Cricetulus griseus: one gene and its partner. The protein of the gene in region 1 purifies or fractionates together with the protein of each later gene. This does not show direct contact. Links are inferred from orthologs where the notes say so. Each region holds a gene or a part of one and is shown on either strand. Other genes may lie near its edges.

The links.
Region 2: the proteins of Rab1b (region 1) and Gdi2 purify together in Homo sapiens (affinity purification with mass spectrometry; 3 studies listed by BioGRID and IntAct, counting the BioPlex papers as one, with this or other methods). This does not show direct contact. The link is inferred for Cricetulus griseus from reciprocal best matches to the Homo sapiens genes RAB1B and GDI2.

The regions. Positions count from the first base shown.
Region 1 is NC_048596.1:54,179,545-54,190,821, forward strand, and holds Rab1b (ras-related protein Rab-1B), read left to right. Parts: upstream 1-3,642; 5' UTR 3,643-3,780; coding exon 3,781-3,794; intron 3,795-5,314; coding exon 5,315-5,387; intron 5,388-5,667; coding exon 5,668-5,763; intron 5,764-5,845; coding exon 5,846-5,941; intron 5,942-8,919; coding exon 8,920-9,051; intron 9,052-9,146; coding exon 9,147-9,341; 3' UTR 9,342-10,635; downstream 10,636-11,277. Other genes in the region: Klc2 (kinesin light chain 2), read left to right, coding at 312-361, 453-520, 917-1,025, 1,115-1,273, 1,346-1,470, 1,632-1,689, 2,091-2,174. UniProt on the Homo sapiens protein: The small GTPases Rab are key regulators of intracellular membrane trafficking, from the formation of transport vesicles to their fusion with membranes.
Region 2 is NC_048596.1:228,626,381-228,637,087, forward strand, and holds part of Gdi2 (rab GDP dissociation inhibitor beta), read left to right. Parts: intron 1-1,890; coding exon 1,891-1,998; intron 1,999-3,176; coding exon 3,177-3,276; intron 3,277-5,579; coding exon 5,580-5,714; intron 5,715-6,860; coding exon 6,861-7,059; intron 7,060-7,506; coding exon 7,507-7,638; intron 7,639-10,707. UniProt on the Homo sapiens protein: GDP-dissociation inhibitor preventing the GDP to GTP exchange of most Rab proteins. By keeping these small GTPases in their inactive GDP-bound form regulates intracellular membrane trafficking.

The DNA.
Region 1 (11,277 bases):
TCAGCCTGGCCCCTCATTCAAGTGTATCACCAGTCTCTGGTTTAAGGTGTACAAGGGCCTGCCATATCACTCCTAACCCCACCTCATTTATCGCCATTTGACACAGACCTGCGGCCTGTTCATCTGGGTACAGAGGAGGGTCAGTAATGTTTTGGGTTTGGGTTTGCTGCTTGTTCATCTATTCAACAAAACCCAATCCTGGTCCTTTCTACATACTCCTGTCCCCTTCCCCAGACATTAGTCCCTTGTCTAGCTAGCCCAATTGGAAAGACCTATGTGGCAGGCAGGTGACAGTCCCCTGTTCTTCCTAGGAGAGAACAAGCCCATCTGGATGCATGCAGAGGAACGAGAGGAGAGCAAAGTGAGTAGCGCTGTGAGCAGAGCTTCCAAGTGTGCAGAGGGTGTGAGGCTGGGATGTATGGAGCTCCCTAACTGACTGGTCTTTCCCCCAGGATAAGCGCCGGGACAACGCCCCCTATGGGGAATATGGCAGCTGGTACAAAGCCTGTAAAGTTGACAGGTGAGGGCTGATAGGTCTGGGTTAGGGGTAAAGTGAGGACCAAGGAAGTAGTGTCCTTGGTCAGTGAGACCCAGGCCTCACACTATCCTTCGTCTCTGAGACACCTCTCTTCTGTTAGCTCATCTCTCATGGCCTGAACCCAAGAAGACTTTCTGCACTGGGAAAGCTTGGTTCACTCATTCCAGGGTCTCCCAGCTTCTGGTCCTGGTGGCAATGTCCTAGGAGAACTCTAGGGCCAAGCCAGGTTTCTAGCACTAGAATGGTTCTCTCAAGATGGTTCTACCACAGGGGCAGATGAATAGGAAAGGCCAGATTCTGGAGGCCTTTTTGGTCCCCAGAGCCCCATGTGGGCTGCTTGCTGGGTAGAGTTTGAGACTTCCTGCTATCTGTCCACAGTCCCACAGTCAACACTACTCTGCGAAGCTTGGGAGCCTTGTACCGGCGCCAGGGCAAGCTGGAAGCTGCACACACACTGGAAGATTGTGCCAGTCGAAGCCGCAAGCAGGTGGGGCTCCAAGGTGGAGGATGGTGAATTGGGATCTTTGAGGCTCCCTGTGCTGCAGTCAGGGCCTGATGCTTCCTGCCCCCTTTCAGGGCCTGGATCCTGCCAGCCAGACCAAGGTGGTAGAGCTACTAAAAGATGGTAGTGGTGGACGAGGAGACCGCCGTGGCAGCCGAGATGTGTCTGGGGGTGCTGGGCCTCGGTCTGAGTCTGACCTGGAGGAGTCAGGGCCTGCCGCTGAGTGGAGTGGGGTGAGTGTGGGACTAAGATAGGTTCTAAGACTACGAAGAAAGCAGGGCCTAGAGACAATTCTTCCCCCACAGGATGGCAGTGGCTCTCTGCGGCGCAGTGGGTCCTTCGGGAAGCTCAGGGATGCCCTGAGACGTAGCAGTGAGATGCTGGTGAGGAAGCTGCAGGGGGGTGGCCCACAGGAGCCCCCTAATTCTAGGTGAGTTTCTGTCCCTGATTGTATCCTGTTGGCTCCCACGTGACATCACTCCCTCTCAGGAAACACTACCACCACGTCTGCTTTATTCTGCCCCCAAGACTCAACCTGGTGTCCCTTCACTGTTTCACCATGAACAAATCCTGGTCCTCCTTTTCCCTCAGGATGAAGAGGGCTAGCTCTCTCAACTTCCTTAACAAGAGTGTGGAAGAGCCAGTTCAGGTAAGAGTGGAGGGCATCTGGCCTTAGGCAGTCTAGACCCAGGCCCCCACCCCATAGTTCTGGCCCCTTGGTCTATGTATGTCCCCACCCAACTTTTATCTGGTGAGTCTTCATCCAGCAACAGCCCAATTTAGGCTGGGAGGATATAGGTAGAAACAACTAGGGGCAGGCAGGTAAAGGGGAACATAGCCCTTGTCCTGGGGCAGATATATATAGTCAGCCAGTACCAGCTTGAACTCTCAGGCCCTAGGTGTGAGCTAAACTTCAACTCGCTGTATTTACACCAGGACTTGGTCAATCCTTTTCATCATCCCACACTCGTCTGTGTCTCCCTTCCTCTCCCTTCTCTTCACTCCCAGTTACCATGTCTAAGCTACATGCCCTCTCTACTCTGCCCACAGCCTGGAGGCACGGGCCTCTCCGACAGCCGCACTCTGAGCTCCAGCTCCATGGACCTCTCCCGAAGAAACTCCCTCGTGGGCTAAAGCTGAAGGGGCAGCCTGTCTCTAGCCTTCATCTGACACGACCCCTTACCCCAGCCCTGCGCATGGGCCTGCTGCTTGTCCTGCCTGCCCCTCCCAAGGACCCCTGTCTTTTCTGTTCAATCTCAGGGTAACCTCCCTTGTCATCTCAGCCAGGGCCCTGGAGGCCGGGCCTGCCCACCCCAACTCTACTCCTTATTTATTCCTTCCAGCAGGGGGCCTCTCTTCCCTACATTCAGGGCCTGTGGGAGTGGTGGCCTGCCTACCCATCCTCCAAAGCCAAGAACACTTAAGTACTTGCTGTCCTTTAGCATCTTTGACTCCCCCAGCCCTCGGCCGTTGCTTCTGTATATAGAGAAATAAGTTATTGGCCATGTCATCCTCTCAGCCCTCCTCCCTTCAGTCCACGGTATTCCCGGGCCACCACCTGCCTCTCCCTTCTCCAGTGGTACCGCCCAGGCCTTAAATCACCCCTGTTCCGAGTGGTGGTATCTCCCAAGCTCCAAGTTCTAGGAGCAGAACCTCCTGAAAGGGTTCCCGATCTCCTTGCCATCCTGGTTTTGGAGGGATGTGCTCTACCCAACCTTGCAGATGCCCGGACTCCCACAACACCGGGCCCTGTGTTGCCTCCCGGACTTATGCACCGTCCTTTGCTCCCTGCCTCCGCCCCGCCCAGGCATGGCCTGACCCCACCCTGGGCACGGCCCATTGAGCCATCCTGCCACGCCTTCCTTGCCTCAGCTTCCAATGTCCCCTCCACGTACCCCCGCAGTAGGAGGGGCTACCCCATTTGATGGGTGAGGCAATCGCGCTCTCTATTTTCAGATGTTGCTGTAGAAATAAAGACGATTTGAATCTGAGCCAGGCTTGTTTTGAGAAGGCTCAGAACCCCTGAGCATCCCCTAGGGTGGGGTGGAATCTGGTGGAGTGAGGGACACACACATCATGCCCTGTCCCTTGAGACTGGACGTGACATTCTGCCCTTATCCTGAATTGTACGAGGAAATGCTACAGATTTGGGGGTTCTCCTAAAGCATGCCCTTACGGGGTTATAGATAGTTCCGTCTTTGAGTTCTACCCCACAATATGTTCTTGGACTGAATGAGTGTCTCGAGATGATTTTTCATGCATGTGATATTAGTGATGACAGTCCCATCCCACGAAGAACGCTTATAATTCAAGTTTTTCTGGTCCTAAATACGTCGTGCCATCTCGTTCAATGTTTTCAATCTGCAAACCAAGAGGGTGGCTGCCCATCTCAGTTGAACAAAACCATACCTACCCCGGTATGGTTCTAACCTGCGGATTGTCCAAGATACCGCCGCAGGTCGTTCAGGGATTGAGAAGACTACAGACCCCAGAAGGCAGTTCGCGGGTTGCGACTGGAGCGCACGGCCGTGTTGGTTGACTGGGTTGCGCCTGCGCAGCAGTGGCAAATCGAGTATCTAGGAGACTACAGGTTCCACAAGGCAGCGCGGGGCAACTGGAGTCGGAAGTGTTTGCGCCTGCGCGGCGCGGGCGGGGTCTCTAGGGCAGCGCGGCCACCATCTTGGAACGGGAGGCGGAGCAGAGCCGACTGGGAGCGACCGAGCGGGCCACCGCTGCCGCCATGAACCCCGAATAGTGAGTGAGCCCCGCCCGCGCTGTGTGGCGCAGCCTCGATCATGTCTATGGGGCTGTATGCTTATCGAAGTTGTCTGGCCCTGGTCAGAACTGCGCGGCGGACCCCACATCCGGGTCCCTCTTCCGCTGACCCCCCCCCTACATCCGGGTCCTGCCCCTCCCCCCGGGAACCCCTGGACCCCGGCTCAACACCCCGAGTTCTCTCAGTCAAGGCCCGGAGGCGACAGCCTCGAAGGGCAGCACTTGGAGCCCGCAGCGCCGGCCCTCCCAGGCCTTTTCGGTTGTGACCCTGCAGATTGGTCTCCCTGAGCCTCAGTTTCCCCACCGCTGCTTGACCACGGGCAGGCGGTTTGGAGTCCATCGTAATAATTTCTGGTCCCCAGAGTCGAGTACTTTCAGATTGGCCGTGAACCACTCTGCCTTTAACTTTCTTCTGAGGCCGGTTTTCCGGGCTGGCCCAGACAGAAGCTGACCAGACAAGGGGAGCCCAAGCCCCTGCTTGATTCACATCCCTGCAGGTCCTAACCTCTGGGGCTGACATTTGCCCTGCCTGGGTCGCACTATCCTGTGGCTCCCGTGTCCGTCCTTTTCTGCCCTCTCACCTTTGCTCAGGCCTCCAGTGCCACTGTCACGCGGCTTCCCTCACCTGTCACACTGCCAGAGAACTTTAGGTGTGGGATTTGCTAGCTCGCTTGGAGTGGGATTTTTATTCCTCAAACTCAAACCCTTGGAGTAGATGGCCCACATACAGTTTTGCACCCGTGTTGTCTTCTTCCCCTTCCCCGCTTCCTTTTTCTTCCCCAGCTCTAGGCCTCAGATTTCCTTGAGAGAGGGTGAAGCTCATCAGGGTTAGGAGGGGAACAGAGAAGGGAGGCTCAGGCTGTCACAGAGTCTGACAGACCTAGTCTCCAGTCTCACAGTTAGCCACTGCTTAGGGTAAGTCATTTATTTCCCTTCTCTGACCTGTGGTTTCCTCACTTGGTTGCACTGTTGTGAGGTTTTAATGAGACGATGTATTTAAAGGACTTCACACAGGACCAGTTACAGTTCAGGAAGTATTAACTGCTGCCTCCATGGTCACTTGTTGACTGCCTCTTATTAGTGACTTCATCTCAGGCTCTTTCACACTTGTTTTGACTTCATGTGTTCCAGCATTCATTTTAGGGTCCTAGGCTGGCACACTATAAGGCCTAGTGTGGGTTTCCTAAATAATTCCTACAAAACAGCACCAGAGTCTCAGCTCTGGCACCCAGCTGGTTGTTCCTTGGTAAATTGTGTTCCTTTATTTTGCCACAAAGTGAGAATTCAGACATAGCAAGCTGAAGGTGTTGTGGGCTAGCTTATTGGGGATAGTAAGGGTCTATTTTTTGTCCCTTTTCAGGACAGTGGGAGGATCTAGTGAGCACCATGACATACTAAGCAGAAGCATGCTTCCCTGTACTGTCATGCTCACTGCAGGGGCAGGGGTGGCAGAGGGAACTTCTTGCCTGCCTTCATACCTTCCCATCTTCTCTTGCCAGTGACTACCTGTTCAAGCTGCTTTTGATTGGTGACTCGGGTGTGGGCAAGTCGTGCCTGCTCCTGCGGTTTGCTGTGAGTAAGAAGCACCCCCATGATATCCACCTGGGGTCCTAGCTGGCCACTGGGAGGAAAGAGGGACAACTCAGAACACAGTAGTTGCAAGAAAGACCTGAGAACCAAGAATGAGGTTGCCGGAGCTGCCAGAAGAAGGGCCCAGGCCTCGAAAGTTGGGGTGCTTAGAACTAAGACTTGGCAGTGAGGAGCACAACAGGGGTAGGGAGCTGGAGGGAGGACTTTCAAATAGTTTTTGGGCCTGTCTGTTCAGGCTATTTGACTGGCCCCAACCTTTCAGGATGACACATACACAGAGAGCTACATCAGCACTATCGGGGTGGACTTCAAGATTCGAACCATTGAACTGGATGGCAAAACCATCAAACTTCAGATTGTGAGTATGGCTTTTCTACAGCACTGAGAGAGAAGTGAGGGTTCCCTTGTGGCTGACCTACCCTTTTCCTCCTGTCTCATAGTGGGACACAGCTGGTCAGGAACGGTTCCGGACCATCACTTCCAGCTACTACCGGGGGGCTCATGGCATCATCGTGGTGTACGACGTCACTGACCAGGTACTCCTGGACTTACCTCCCAGACTTGCTTCCTGAGCCTTGACTTTTTTGTTTTGTTTTGTTTCTCAAGACAGGGTTTCTCTTTAGCTTTGGAGGCTGTCCTGGAACTCACTCTGTAGACCAGACTGGCCTTGAACTCACAGAGACCTTCCTATCTCTGCCTCCCGAGTGCTGGGATTGAAGGCGTGTGCCACCACCGCCTAGCCTGAGCCTTGACTTTTGACTCTTACTCCTTTTCCTGTTTTCATTTCCCTTAAGCTTTCTGGAAGGTAGACACCATGCTGAATTGCTTCATAAAAAGGGCTACAAGCCACAGAATCGGATCCTACCAAGACCCTGTCATGAAGTCTTTATGGAACCAGACTTCATGGCTCCTGCTACCTTATTATAGACCTTCCAGACTACCCGTCTTTGGTGGCAGTTAGTCAGTTGGTTGGTTACTGCTGGTTCCTTGCTTCCTAAAGTCTGCAGACAGAGCAATTGGAAGGCTCTAAACAAGAAAGTGAGAAGCCCAGCGTAAACAGAAGTTCTGGAATACTGTGTCTCCTGTGGTGGGGTCAGCAGCCAGAAATTGTCCTTACAGTGTCTCACAATTTATAAAAACTGTGGTCTTTAGCTTTCCTTGGTTGCTTACCCCACAAAATGGCTCTATTGCCAACCTGACCCAAATTCCTGGGTTTAAGTGACCCTCCTCCTAAGCCTCCCTGGTAGATGGAGCTACTGGGTACTCACCCCTGTGCCTAGCTTTTGACGCTCATGAGAAGCCCCTCATATTTACACCTTAAAGATGAAGACTTGGTTCAGGCTGGGGCCGTGACTTGCTAAGTTAGTTAGTGGCAGAGGCCAAAAGCCTAGTCTCCTGATCCATCTGCTTTGCTTTTTCTGCCAATCAGTACTGGGCTGGGAGAGTTCCTGCTTTGGGGGGCAGTGGCCACGTAACAGATACTCCTGATCCCCGTGCCTTCATCTCCCAGCCCTTCTAACAAGCTAGGTGAGCCAAGTGCCACTCAGATCACCAAGGCTTTAATTAACTGTTAGATCCAGTCATCTTCTTGCCAAGATTGACTCCTTTGACTTTGTACTGTTTTCTTCTCTTTCCTCAAAAATATTATCTGTATTAGCCCTTGTCCCCCAATAAGCAGACACTCTGCCAGTGAGCTACAACCCCAATCCCTTTGGTCTCTTTTTTATTGGCTCACCCTTGCTACCCATTAACCCCACATTTTCTGCATCCTAACTAACTCCAGCCACTTCTGTGGTTTGGCTTTTGTCTTGTGTTCTGGGACTCTTGATGTATGTTTTGAAATTCTTATGTCCAGACAGATGTCACATGGGTTCCATCTCTTGTGTGCTTGCACTGGCCCCTGGTGTCTGTAATGGGAATAATCTTCATGCTCTTACCCGGTGAACTAAATGGTGAGGCCTCTGTGCCCTAGTTTGCTTTCTGTTGCCACAGTAAACACCAGGTGGGAGGAAAGGGCTTGGCTCATCGGGTAATAGTCCATCATCTGATGAAACCAAGGCATGAATTCAAGCAGGAGCCAGGGGGAAAGGTGCCTACTGTTTTGTTCCCCATGGGTTGCTCAGCTTGCTTTCTTAGACCACCTAAGGCCACCTGCCAAAGGGTGACACTGCACAGTGAGCTGGGTCATCAACCATCAATCAAGAAAATCCCTATAGACATGCTCACATGACAGTCTGATGGAGGAAGTTCCTCAGTTTAGATGCCCTTTCCAGATGCTTAGGTAGGTTTGTGTCAAGTTGAACAATGCTAACTAAGCCAGGCGGTGGTAGCACATGCCTTTAATCCAACACTTGGGAGGCAGAAGCAGGCAGATTTCTGTGAGTTCAAGGCCAGCCTGGTCTACAGAGCGAATTCCAGGACAGCCAGTCTACACAGAGTAAACCCTGTCTTGAAAAACAAAAAATGTAACTAGTATACCTTGTTTCCTACATGAAGAACTTCTTTTCCAGAGGTGTTAGTAACTTGCCTCTGATGTCCCAGTAAAGAAAGACAAAGCCCTTTCTCTGCCTTCAACTGCCTCTATGAGCTCCATACCAGCTGCAGGATTCAGATTCTAGTGCAAGCTTCTCCATCTCCCCTGCCCGCCTTCTGCATCCTCATTTTGTAATATAATTCTTGTGTGACCAGAAAACTTCCCTTCTCCATAGTTAGTCTCAAGACACCTCTATTCTCTCCCCATCATTTCAGATCTGTCCCTTCATAATAATAGCAGTAATGAGGATAATAGCAGCTCTTGCTAATTGAGCACTTGTTATGAGACAGGCCTGGTGCATTCATTCCTCGTACAAACAGCAGCTCTGCTGGGAGGTATTATCTGAACAAAAGAGGAAACTGAGACCCAGGTCAGGTGACTAGATATCTGAAGTCACATAGATGATCAAGTTTGGACGATAGCCTACCGTCTAAACCTATTCTCTTCTAGATTATTCTAGCTACTTCTCCGTTGCTCTGCATTTTGTTAGTGTGATCTAATCCTGCCCAGACCCTATTTCCAGAACACAGATAGACTCCAGTTACTCTTGAGCTGAGAAAACCCTCACTGTCTCATGGGCATGCCAAGTTTATACAGGCTAAGACCTTTTCAGCTCTGTCCTGCCTACCCCTTACCATTTCCTCCCAACCTGCAACCTGGTGTTTTCCCACTTCCCACTCCCCAAAGACACCACACCCTCCCATCCTAGCAGATGCTGTCTCCTCAGCTGGTAGCTTTTGCATTAGTTGAGTCCATGCCTGCAAGCTGGAGTCAGCCACTGGCTGGTGACTACTCTGTTCTGGTTCTAGTTCTTGGGTTGCCACATGGAAGAGAACCAGGGGGGAAACTAAGCCTGAAGTGGGGGAGACTTGAGTTGTATCCCCATGCTCAGGGCTCCTACCTTTCCCTCAAAGGAGCCCTGTTCTCCAGGCCTGGCTAGACTGGGTTTGGGAGTTCAGTAACTTTGGACACTGTGCCTAGGAGTCCTACGCTAATGTGAAACAGTGGCTACAAGAGATAGATCGCTACGCCAGTGAGAACGTCAATAAACTCCTGGTAGGCAACAAGAGTGATCTCACCACCAAGAAGGTCGTGGACAACACCACAGCCAAGGTGAGCAGGGCCAGCCCTGGCTGTCAGGGGGCCAGGGCTCACTTCCCTTCACCCCTTCTCTCCCTTGCCCTTATCTCTTTTTTTCCCCTTGGCAGGAATTTGCAGACTCTCTGGGTGTCCCCTTCCTGGAGACGAGTGCCAAGAACGCCACCAACGTTGAGCAGGCATTCATGACAATGGCTGCAGAGATCAAAAAGCGGATGGGGCCAGGAGCAGCTTCTGGGGGTGAACGGCCCAACCTGAAGATCGACAGCACCCCTGTGAAGCCAGCTAGTGGTGGCTGTTGCTAGGAAGGGCACTTGGGGAAGGGACACCTTCTCCAGATGATGCCCCTGGAGGGGCAGGAAGTGCCTCCCTCTCCTAGGGCATTTGAGTCTGTGGCTTTGGGGTGTCCTGGGCTCCCCATCTTCCTCTGGCCCATCTGCCTTCTGCTCTGAGTGCTGTCCTGTCAGGGCCCCCTTGGAGGACATGCAGAACCTGTGGCAGGGGTGGTCACAGGAACTGCTCTGCTGCTGCCTCTAGGTACCTTGAAAAGATGCCCACCATGCACCTTTCTTTGGAATGAGGGCTCAGCTGTCTGTCACTCACCCCCATGTATGCTGCACTGGGCTTCTCCCTCCCTCCTTTCCTTCCTTCCTTCCTTCCTTCCTTCCTACCTTCCTTCCTTCCTTCCTTCCTTCCTTCCTTCCTTCCTTCCTTCCTTCCTTCCTTCCCAGTAGCTGAGGGCCTCCCTGCCTCTGCTTCCCTGGCTGCAGGCAGTGGCCAGGGGATCCAGGGTCTCAGATCCAGGGTCCTGCTTCGGACCTCAGGACAGGCAAGGGGGCTGCAAAAAGCCAACAGCCCACTTTTTCCTCACCCCTGCCTCCCTCCACCGCTCCCACACTCAGCTTGAGCCGTCCAGCTACTGTTGGGTCTTGAGCACAACTAGGGTAGGTGGGCGGATGGCTGTGCTGGGCCTGTGTCTCAAGCCCAGAGGGAGCCTGCTCCTGCCTCCCCCTGCCCTGCCAGAGCCAGGCCTATGTGCTGCCTGCCCACCAAGCCCCTTTGTCCCTGAGAAAGGCGGAGGTGGAAGGCCCACCGTGCCAATGGCCGGGCACCAGCCTTAACCCTTACTCTGCCAGCACCACTTTCTTCCCCTGAGGCAGCACATCTGGCTTCTAATCCCTCCGTTCCTCAGAGCCTGAGGGGGCCAGACCTACTTCTCTGGGGAATGTAGGGGCCACTTGGGGTTGTGGGACTCTCTCCCCTTCCCCACTCAGAATCCCGCCCCACCCCCACCCACCCCCCCACCCTCTGGCACAGCTTCCTGCAGAAAACCTTTGGTGATTACCTGAGAAGCCATGTCCTTTGTGCTGTGGTCTTGCCAGTCTCACCCTCCCCTCCCCTCCCCTCCCTTTCTCTCCCCTCCAGTGTGTATTTAAAATCCCTGGGCTGCCCCTCTGGGAGGGAGCCTCTTCTCCCAGGTTCCCCTTTGGTGTCATGTCAGGCATTTTGCAAGGAAAAGCCACTTGGGGAAAGATGGAAAAGGATGAAAAAAATAAATTTCCACTGGCCCTTGGATAAGCCGAGGGTTTTTGCAAGGAAGCTGTGGTGACTTGAGTGGTCTGTGGTCTGAGTCCGGCTTTGAGTTTCTGGATGGAACTGGAATCCAGAGTTTGATGTGATACATAGGGGGTCCTGGCTCAGACTGCCCTAAGTTTGTTGGTAAAAGCCCTTGACCCACATTCTGGGGCTGGTAAAGCCTGCCATGCTGCTGTGGGATGTCCCCAAGGGCCCAGCACGGTTCTGTCAGAGGACGGCAGGCTGGAAGCCATCGGGTGATCCACCATCAACACCCACTGGATGACTTGCGAGGCGTGAAGTTGGGCAACAGCTGGACCCAGGATAGGGCTTTGGGCCCCACAGATGTACTGCATCGCAGTTGGTCTTCACCTCCAGTTCCCCTCTTCTGCTTCCTCTCAGGCTTCAAGCCAAATGCCAGCTATCCTGCATAAGTCAAATGCTTCACTTGAGGGCCTGCCTCAGCCTGTCTCCACAGCCAGCACTGTATGTGAGGATTAGAGACGAAGTACTGAATGTGGCTGTGGTGGGATGGTTGTGTGAGTCTTGAACTAGGACCGTGCGGCCGGGTCTTCTGTGTTCTGACGTGCAGCGGTGGCGGTGCTGGGCCGTCCCAGCTGGCAGAGGCTGGCGGAGGGGCCACTCCGAGCCTCAGCCCCGCCCGAG
Region 2 (10,707 bases), about 170 Mb from region 1:
AGTCTCTCTCTCTCTCTCTCTGTCTCTGTCTCTGTCTCTCTCTCTCTGTCTCTCTGTCTCTCTCTCTCTCTCTCCAGTCACTTAGGAACTCTGAGCTTATTGTGAACAATACAGATCTTCGGAGTGTTGGGTATTTCATTTGATGATATGAAAAGTCTAGTCTGTCTTGTATGGTGTGTTGGAACATGCCAGCACTCCTGGGTGGGAAGGTAAGAGGATCTCTAGTTTACTAGTTCTTGGCCAGCCTGGTATGCTACATAACAGCAAGACACAATCTTAAGATAAAAGAATGAGAAAGAATCAGCTGTTTCTAGTAACACTCTAAAAAGTCCTGTTAAGTATTGGACCCCATGATGGTAGATGAGTGTTCCAAGATTATTTTGGTATTCATAAATTGTACTTTATTGGTAACAAATGACAGTTTGTCTTTATTATTATTGTTATTATTATTATTATTATGTTTATGGTCTTTTGCTTCTATGTATGTTTGTGTACCATGTCCTTGCTAATACCCATTGGAGGCTAGAAAAATGCTGTCATATCCCTTGGAACTAAAGGACAGGTGATTGTGAACTGTCTTGTGGGTGTTGGGGATCAAACCCCGATCCTCTGGAAAAACAGCTAGTGTTTTTAATCTTTGCACTATCTCTCCAGCCCCCAACTGCTGCATCCTTGTAGGGATGAAGGGATGGATCTGAGTTGGGTGGCAAAGGAATGAAGAAAAGACAAACACACAGACAGAGGTGGACTGGGCTTTCTGCTGAAAAAGCCTCAGCTTTCTGGAAGCTCGGTGGTGTGTATTACATAGAGTTGAACAGAGATGGGTTTATTGCATGCAGCTGAACAGGGAGGCTTGTTTTTTACATTCAGACAAACAACGATGCTGCATTTACATTATATTGCCAGCCTAAGGAGACAGGGTTAGGAAAGCTTGGCAGGATCTGTTGGGAAGCAGTGGGTGGTGGTGCTGAAAGCTATGGCAGACATTTTTTCTGTATACACTGCCAAACATTTACACTTGGACAAGGAGGGAAGGCTTTGCCATTTCCCTGCCTCTGTCTGAGAGGAAGTCTGCCATTTTATAGGAGCATGGCCATGTCAACAATATACACTTACCGTCTCAGGACTTCCTCCTTTTCCATACCCACTGTGTATCAACTTCTAAGATGTTCATTTTTGAAAAAAATGTTTACCAAAGCTGAATAATCGTAGTTCTCTCAAATAAAAATGGTGACTCATAGAACAAAGTGTCTACATACAGCCTGTAAATAAGTGGCACTAAAGATTTTCCTTGAGCTGGAAGTGCTGTATGGCACTTCAGTTTTGTCACGAGCAGTGTATGAAAAGGTGGGTATTTCAGATGTGCCTTTATTAAGTTAAATCTCAGTGCCTCTTGGACGACCTTAGTGAATGCCTGGTAGGAAACAGTAGAGTGGCAGGCTGTAGTTGAAAGCCTCTGCCTTTGTCTGTCCACCTGTGATATGGCATTACTATAAATGACAGCCCAGTAAACAACAGTGACTGGTACAAGCCCTTATTGTGAAACCAATTTTCACCTGGGAACTCACAGGAACCCAAGAGAGGCTTTAAGCCTGCTGGTTTTGTTATGGTGAGCAAGTGTTTTAATTACTATGAGACTGCTAGTGAGTTTACTTTTTTTTTTTTTTTGGTTTTTCAAGACAGGGTTTCTCTGTGTAGCTTTGGAGCCTATCCTGGCACTCGCTGTGGAGACCAGGCTGGCCTCAAACTCACAGAGATCCGCCTGCCTCTGCCTCTGCCTCCAGAGTGCTGGGATTAAAGGTGTGTGCCACCAATGCCCAGAGAGCTTACTTTTTAATAAAGAACCATTTTAGCATGTTATGTGTGTGGCTTTTCTTCTTTTAACCTTAGGAGTGTATCCTGTCAGGGATAATGTCAGTGAATGGAAAGAAGGTTCTTCACATGGATCAGAACCCGTACTATGGAGGAGAAAGCGCATCTATAACACCACTGGAAGATGTAAGTCTCTGTGGTCAGTGCATCTTTTATGTGTAGGAATTACTTGTGAATCTCCACTTTAGTTTTTGGAGATGGTCTAAATTTTGGCTCATTATTATTGCTAGTTGGGGGGTGGGGGGGATGAGACAGGGCCTCTCTTTCTCTACCTAGCCCTGGCTATCCTGGAGCTCACTATATACACCAGGCTGGCTTCAAGCTCACAGAGCTCCCTACACTTTTGAGCACTGGGATTAAGGGTATGAAACACCATGCCTGGCAGTTTTGGCTTATTAAATATTCTACTTAATAAATCTTCAGCTTCCAGGGTGCTGGATTATAGGTATGTACCACTAGATCTTGCTTTTTTATGGCTTTGAAAAGTGGAAAGTAAAAAAGACATTGTGGCACTTGACCTAAATACTTCGGCTTCCATCTGTTAAGGATGGCATTTTCTATGCCATCATAATGCCACTACATTTATGAAAATGAACGATATTTAAATTATATTCAGATTTCCAGTAACTCAGAGAGTGATATTTAGGTCTTCAGTACACTTTGGTTTTTAAAATCAGTTTTTAATTAACTAAAGATTTGAGCGTTGTATGTGTTTCTTCTCTGTTCTCTTAATCTACAAGTCTCACTACCTTTCCCCTTCTCCCTTTCCCTTTGGAGAAGTACAGGCTACTAGTTTGAAAGAAATTGTTGATTATTTCATACTGTATCATGCTGGGAGGCACTCGTTGGAGGTGAATGTGTGCTTAGTATTCTTTGGTGTAAACTTATGTTCACACTTATCAAAGTGTTTACATTGTGTGTGCAATTTTTAATCATCAGTTGTATTTCAGTAAAGCCTAAAAACTAAAAGCTAGAAAGAACTAGTTTTAACTATCTTTTCTAGATTTGAAGTATATAATTTTTTTTTAACTTGTGTAGCTAGAGAAGCAAAATTAGGGGGAATGAGATTCAACAATTAGTGGGAAAGACTTCTGCAATGCTTGTGTATCTTAGCATTCACGAGTTACATACTGTATTTAATTACATAATATATTGAGACTTGAAAGTCTTATCTGACTAAAAGTTTACTTGACAGATAAAAGTTTTATCTGATTAAAAATAAAATGATTTGTGTTTTACCTCTTATAGTTGTATTATACCTCAGCCTCTCGTTACATTATAGGTATTTTTTTTTCTACTTTTAGTTATACAAAAGATTTAAGTTACCAGGACAACCACCAGCATCAATGGGGAGAGGAAGAGACTGGAATGTTGACTTAATTCCCAAGTTCCTTATGGCCAATGGTAAAGAATGCTAGCATTATTTATGACTGTATGGAATCTGGGTTGGAAGTAGAGAACATTATCCCAGGTCTGAGGCCCTGGGGAATTGGTTGATGTCAATAGTATGTTTAGTAATATGTTTCATTAAAAGTGTCTGGAGTCTAATTAAGAATGGAGGGAAGGAGGTATAGAAAATAGCTCTGAAAAGAAACAAAAGCATGATGTGACACAGTGCATGTTAAAATTGAAGATTTTGTAGTATATATTATATATGTATGTAAGAAACTATAGACATTTCACACAGTTAGAAACATTTGTTGCAAATCTGGTGTGGTGTAGTACAAACAAAAATTCTAAATATAATAACATTGTAAGTACCTTCGAGAGACTTTGGGAGCCTGAGTCTTAAATGGTCTTTTAAAGGCTTTCTAGTGTGTAAGCTGTTGAGATCACCTAATTTCTCAGGATTTTAGAGGACTGAACTATCTTAAAATTTCTGTGGTGTCTATTTTTTTCTAAGATGGTATTAAAAAATGAGCCAGGTGCAGTGGTTTACACCTGTAATCCCAGTACTCAGAAAGCTGAGGCAGGAAGATTGCTGATAATGTGAGACTTTCCTGTGCTACAAGTAAACTTTAAGTCATCCATGTCTCACAGTGTGAGGCTCTGTCTGGAAAAATAGAAAACAAAGGAAAAACTAAATTTTTTGTTACAAATTTATTTCCCATGAAATATAGTATGTGTTATTCTTTTTCTTTTTTTGAGTTACATTTTATAGTTTGTATTATAGATACATTGTTTGAATGTTCTTTTAAATTTAAATAATTGAATTCTTGTAAATTATCCAAGTTTGTATAGTCTAGGCAACATTAACAGTAAGCAGGAAGGAAACAAAATTTGCATAGTCAGAATCCCACTATCTGGATTTTTTTTTTTTCTTTGCAGTGCTAGGGATAAAACCTTAGATTTAATTGTGCTTAACATTTTGATGTTTGAGATACACATATGCATAGTCCCAGTTCCCATGCAGTTTTCAGCCAGTGTATAATGTATGTGTAGGGGGTGTAAGAGGGAGGAAAGGAGTGTGTGTGACTGATGACAGATAGCATTGGGTACCCTTAGGAGAGAATTATGGATTTTTGTTTGTTTGTTTGTTTTTGTTTTTTGAGACAGAGTTTCTCTGTGTAGCTTTGGAGCCTATCCTGGCACTCGCTCTGTAGATCAGGCTGGCCTCGGACTCACAGAGATCCGCCTGCCTCTGCCTCCCGAGTGCTGGGATTAAAGGCGTGCGCCCGGCAAGAATTATGGATCTTTTTCAGAAGGCTTTTTCTGTTTATTACCACATTTGGCTTTTGCCTTTCCCAGTACCGTTATCAACCAGCCCTTGATAGTATTCATTTTTGTTTCTGCCATTTGCCATTGTAAGGTAAAATTTGAATTTTTACCATAAATCTGTCCATTAGAGGGTGGAATGAGTTTTAGTTATTGACCAGCTTTCCTGTTTATTGGTGAATTGACTTATTTTCTATTAAGTTGTGTTCTCCTTGCAATGAACTCCTTATAGATATCACCTCTCTGAAGACACAGGGGCAGCCTTTGTAGACAGGGACTTTGCTGCACAATTCTATTGCATGTGTTTTTCTTTATAAAACATTCGTTGGTCTTTTAAGGTCACAAGGCTTAATAATGGGGCCAGTTGATGTAATTTTTCAGTGTACTTTAATCTCTGCTGCATGAGAATCTCTTTATACTTTATTTCCTTAATTTTTTTTGTTGTTGTTCTGGAGTTTGAATACAGGGTCTCACACATGCTAGATAAATGTTTTTACACTAAGTTATGTCCCCCAGCCCTAACTTCAAAAATGATGTGACTACCCTGTTGTAGTTATCCTTTCAAATCATCTTTAAAATGGTTTTGGTCTCACAAAACTTTTGGCTGATTTGGGTAAGTGAGCCTCCTTGGTCTTATAGGCAGATGGGATTCCTAATTGTAGTCCTTAATCTATTTGATGTTGATATACTCTTAATAAATATAAGTAGACTTAGAAATTGAAATATTTGGAATTGTCTGTGACTGATACAGAACTGCAAGGTTGCCTCAATTCACTCACCAGTACATATTTCATGGCCTTTGTTAGCCTACAAGTTGTAACATTAAGCTTAAACGTATGCTTAAGGTGTGAATTTCTAGTCATACCATTGAAAACACAGCTTTGGGGGCTTCTTGGTAAGGATTGCTATACAATTCTTTAGGAAAATTTTGGGTGCTAAGTTTTATTGGTAGTAAGGTTTGAGTGACAGCTTGCATTACATGACTTTTTCAGGTCAGTTGGTGAAGATGTTACTTTACACAGAGGTCACTCGCTATATGGATTTCAAAGTGATTGAAGGGAGCTTTGTCTACAAGGGAGGGAAAATCTACAAGGTTCCTTCCACTGAAGCAGAAGCACTGGCATCTAGTAAGTAATTCTCATTTATCAGAATGACACGATTTTTATGGTGAAAAGGAGTCCCAGAAACCTATTTGTCTAGTCAACAGATAGTTATAGTGCCAGACACTCATTTAGGCCCTTCTTAATGTTCTGTTCTGTTTAGGAGAGGAGGGGAAAGGATGTGAAACTAGAAGTTTTCTTAGCTTTTTCTTAGTACCAGCTATATGCTATTAGTAGGAGTACTGACTCAAGAGAGCTTGGGATTTAATTCTCTCTCTCTCTCTCTCTCTCTCTCTCTCTCTCTCTCTCTCTCAGCTTTTTTTTAAATATTAATTTAATATTTTTAGACAAGGTAATGTCCCATGTATTCCCCCCCCCTTTTTTTTTTTTTTTTTTTTTTGGTGTTCAAGACAGGGTTTCTCTGTGTAACAGCTCTGGCTGTCCTGGAACTCACTTTGCAGACCAGACTTGCCTCAAACTCAATGAAATCCACCTGCCTCTACCTCCCTGGTGCCGGGATTAAAGGTGTGTGCCACCACCACCCAGCTCAGTGTGTTTCTTTTAAAGATATTTTATTTTTATTGTGTGTGATTATTTGCCTGATATGGGTGCTGGGACCCTAACTCAGGTCCTCTGCAAGAGCAGCAAGCTCTCCTAACTGATGAGCCATCTCTCCAGCCCTGCTTATAGCTGTTTTTTTAAAAGTGTGTAGAGCAGCTCACCGATTGTTTAAGTTTCATTAAAGTAAGTGACCCACAGGGCGGTCAGCTTCTAAAGGTAGTTGCTGTTAATTCTTCATGGTGTCTTCAGTGTCTTTTCCCATTAGGTCTAAGAGTGTGTCTTACAGCCGAAAGAGGGGAAAGGAGCAGCATTCATAATTTTGGGAACTGGCTGAGTTACAGATGTGCATTGTTAGAGGAAAAATAACAGTATAGATGCCTTTGGAACAATGTTTTCAAACTTTCAGCTTCTCTAAATATGTACTCTGTACCTGAAGTTTTGGGGTAAAATTGAAGACTTTATGGGTGATGTGTTTTAAAGTGTTGTGCCCCTGGGAACCATGTTATCTAGATCCCCTGTTATATTAATTATATTTGTTGAGTCATGAAATTGATGTTTAAAGTGTCAGTGTCCTATTGTGAGTATGTGCTTTTTGAAAAAATATTTTTTCAGGTTTAATGGGACTGTTTGAAAAACGCCGCTTCAGGAAGTTCCTAGTTTATGTCGCCAACTTTGATGAAAAAGATCCTAGAACTTTTGAGGGCATTGACCCTAAGAAGACCTCCATGAGAGATTTGTATAAGAAGTTTGATTTGGGCCAAGATGTTGTAGACTTCACTGGCCATTCTCTTGCACTGTACAGAACAGATGAGTAAGTAGACTAATGAATCCATTGGTGGCTCTGCACAGGCTGTGAGATGTTTGCCAGCAGTGACAGGTCTGTTGTACTGAAGTTGGATTTAGGCAACTTTGCAGTTCCCTAATCCATATCATAGACAGTTCCAAACACTTCAATTTCTAGTCAGCTTATTTGAAGAGAGTATCAACAGTAGAGAGAGAGGGTTCCAATCAGAAACTTTTGGTTTTCAGATTTACAGTTTTTTTAAAAACATTGAACTGAATCTCTCTCTCATTTTCCAAATGGTAGACATAGGGTTTGTAGGTTGTTGTGTGGCCCGGTGAAAGAGATTCTAGTAGCATATTAGTGTTAGGGCCTTTTAAGAGAAATGAGAGGGTAGTAGTTTGAAATCGCTTCAGAAAAAGAGTTTAAAATAAACAAGAAGTAGTCTTTTTCTAATGTTGTTTTAATTCTTCCCAGCTACTTAGATCAGCCGTGTTGTGATACCATTAATAGAATTAAACTTTACAGCGAATCTTTGGCAAGATATGGTAAAAGCCCATACCTTTATCCCCTCTATGGCCTTGGAGAATTGCCACAAGGATTTGCAAGGTGAGTGCCTGTTTAACCCGTTAGCTGTAACCCTGCTGATCTTAGACTTCATCCTGCCTACTGTAAGTGAAAAGTGTCTCTGAATAGTGAGATGCTATTTATTTGTTTTATGTTTTTTATATTAAAATCATTATCTTTATTATTACTATTTTGGTGTTTCGAGACAGGGTTTCTCTGTGTAGCATTGGCTGTGCTGGAACTCGCTCTATAGACCAGGCTGGCCTTGATTGAACATACATACATACATACATACATACATACATGTGTGTGTGTGTTTATTTATCTATCTATCTATCTATCTATCTATCTATCTATCTATCTATCTATCTATCTATCTATCTATTTATTTATTTTGGGGGGCGGTTTTTCTGTAGCTTTGGATATCCTGTCCTGGAACTCACTCTGTAGACCAGGATGGCCTTGATTGAACCTATGTTTTAATGCCCAAGTAGGTAGGATATGCCACAATATTATAATTCCATCTTTTAAAGGTGGTTTTGAACACCTTTAATCCCCGCAACTGGGAGGCAGTCGGATCTCAGTGAATTCAAGGCTGGCCTGCTCTACAAAATGAGTTCCAACACAGCCAGGACTATTTATACAGAGAAACTCTGTCTCAAAAGAAAAAAAGAAAAAAAGGGGGAGGGGAGGGAGGCTGGAGAGATGAGAGCACTCAACTATCTGGTCTTCCAGAGATCCTGAGTTCAATTTCCAGCAACTACATGGTAGCTCACAACCATCTGTAATGAAATCTGGCGCCCCCTTCTGGCCTGCAGGCATACATGCAGGCAGAACATTTTATGCATAATAAATCTTTTTAAAAAAAGTTTTGTATTTTGATAAAGTCCAGTATATCAAACTTATTTTACAATGCATCTTGAGTACTATGAAATCTTTGCTTAGCCTAAGGGCCAGAGAAGCTTATAGTTTTGCTTTTTTATGTAACTGCTATAATTTACCTTGAAAGAATGTTGATGCCTAAGTGAGGTATGGTTTGAGCCTCTGCCCCCTAATCTGTGGTATTTACTTGTCCCATCTGCATTTACAGTGTGTCTCTGTGTCTCTGTGTCTGTTTCATTTCCCAGTGGTCTTGTAGTAATGCTTAGGTCTAGTTTGGAGGCTGCTTTTGTTCAGATTTAATTTGTTTTTTTCCTATGGCTTTACCACATTTGTCCTGCTTTTTATAATTTTGTAGATAGGTCTTAGAAGTCAAGTGATGTAACTCTTCCCACCGTATATCTTCAAAATTTATTTTGGTTATTGTAAGTTCTTTGCTACTTTTTAGACTCAGGCTGTCAGTTTCTAGGAAAACTGGCTAGGTTTTTTATTGGAACTGGATTGTCTGTACATCAATTTGTGACAAATTCCCATTGTACTAAGTCTTCTGATCCACGCCTGTGTTTAGGTTTGTCTCTAGTATGCTTTTCAGATAACTTTGTTCAGATTTATTTAGAAGTATTTTATTTTGATACCGTTGTTAATTCTTTATTTTGAAGTTGTTCAGTGCTAATGTATATAATGCCCAATTAAGTTTTCTGTATTAACTTTGCTATGCTCGTTTTACTAGTTCAGTTATTCTGATGGACTTAACATAATTTTCCATGTACATAGTATGCCGGCTGTGAGTACAGAGAGACTAGGTTTTTTTTCCCTTAAAATATATATGCATTATGTTCTCTTCCACCCTTGCTTTTATTGTTCTGGCTAGGACTAGAAGAATGTTAAATTGGCAAGAACAAACATTCTTGTCTTGTTCCAGTCTTAGAAAGAAATATTAAGTATTTTCTGTTAATTGTTTTGTGAGATTAAATTCTCATCATAGTTTATGCAGTTTTTTGTTGTGAGTGGGTTGTCATTGAGTTGTGGTGTAGCTTGTCTGTGTATGCTGTTAATATGCTGAATTACATAAAGTTGAATTTTGGTACTGGGTGTGGTAGCACATAGGTAAGCCCTGAACAATTGTGCTACATCCTCAGGCTCACCTTTGTTTATCTGAAAATATTTTACCTTCTTTTTGAAAGACTTTGTTGGTTGTAGCCTGTTTTCATTTAGCACATTGGAAATAGCTTTCCCCATGACTGGTTTTGGCTTGAATGACAAAGTGGCTGTCCCTGAGTTCTTTCTTCTGGTATTTTGAGTTTTTCTCTGTCAATGATCTAGCTTTCAAGATTTTCTTCAGTTTCTGACAGTCTTGCTGTTTGAATATTTAGATTACTTTCAAAAGAACCAAATGCAGAATTTTAGGTTATTATTTATCCAGCTATTTGAGCACATTTTCCTTCTCTCTTGGAGCACCAATCTCTTGTGTATTAGGTCTTTGGCATTACACCATTCCCTGTGTTGATGAGGCTCTGTTCATCTATCTGTCTTTTGTAATTTTTTTTTTTCTCTTTCTCATTTTGGGTGATGTGCCTTTGTCATAAATTCCATCCCTTTCTCCGCCTCTTTCTTCTGTGTAGTACTGGGATTGCTATGAGAGCTTTACTGAATGTTAAACAACACTTCTACCATTATATGTGTGAGCACATGCATGCTGCATGTATAGCAATATCTTTATTTTTCATATGAAAGAAAAAATGAGGTATTTTACTCTTTTGTCTCCCATTAGTTTTCTTTGTTCTTTGCTTGCCCTTTCAGTCCTCTTCCACATAGACCCCCCCCTTCTACTTTGCCATACATGGATATGTATATATGTATTTATTAATATTACATTATGTTGTAAATATATAGAGAAACATTTATTCAGCTCTAAGTCCTTTATTTGAGGGAAAAATGATTTTTTTAAAGTCTCTTATTTTGATTAATGTGATTTCTGGATCTATCCTTTTTTTTTTTTATAACTGACATAATTTCATTTTTGCCTATACTCCACCACCCTCTTTCTTTATTCACCCCCCCTGTTATGCTGTTTTTATGCCCCTCTCAAACCCTTTCTTCCCAACACTTCTCCCTCACACTTTCATGTCTTTTTTGTTTATGGCCCAGTACCTTTAATTACTAGGTTCTATAATTCATTTAGATTTAAGAAGGGAGATTTTTAACAATTCAAGTAGTTATGAATTATAATTG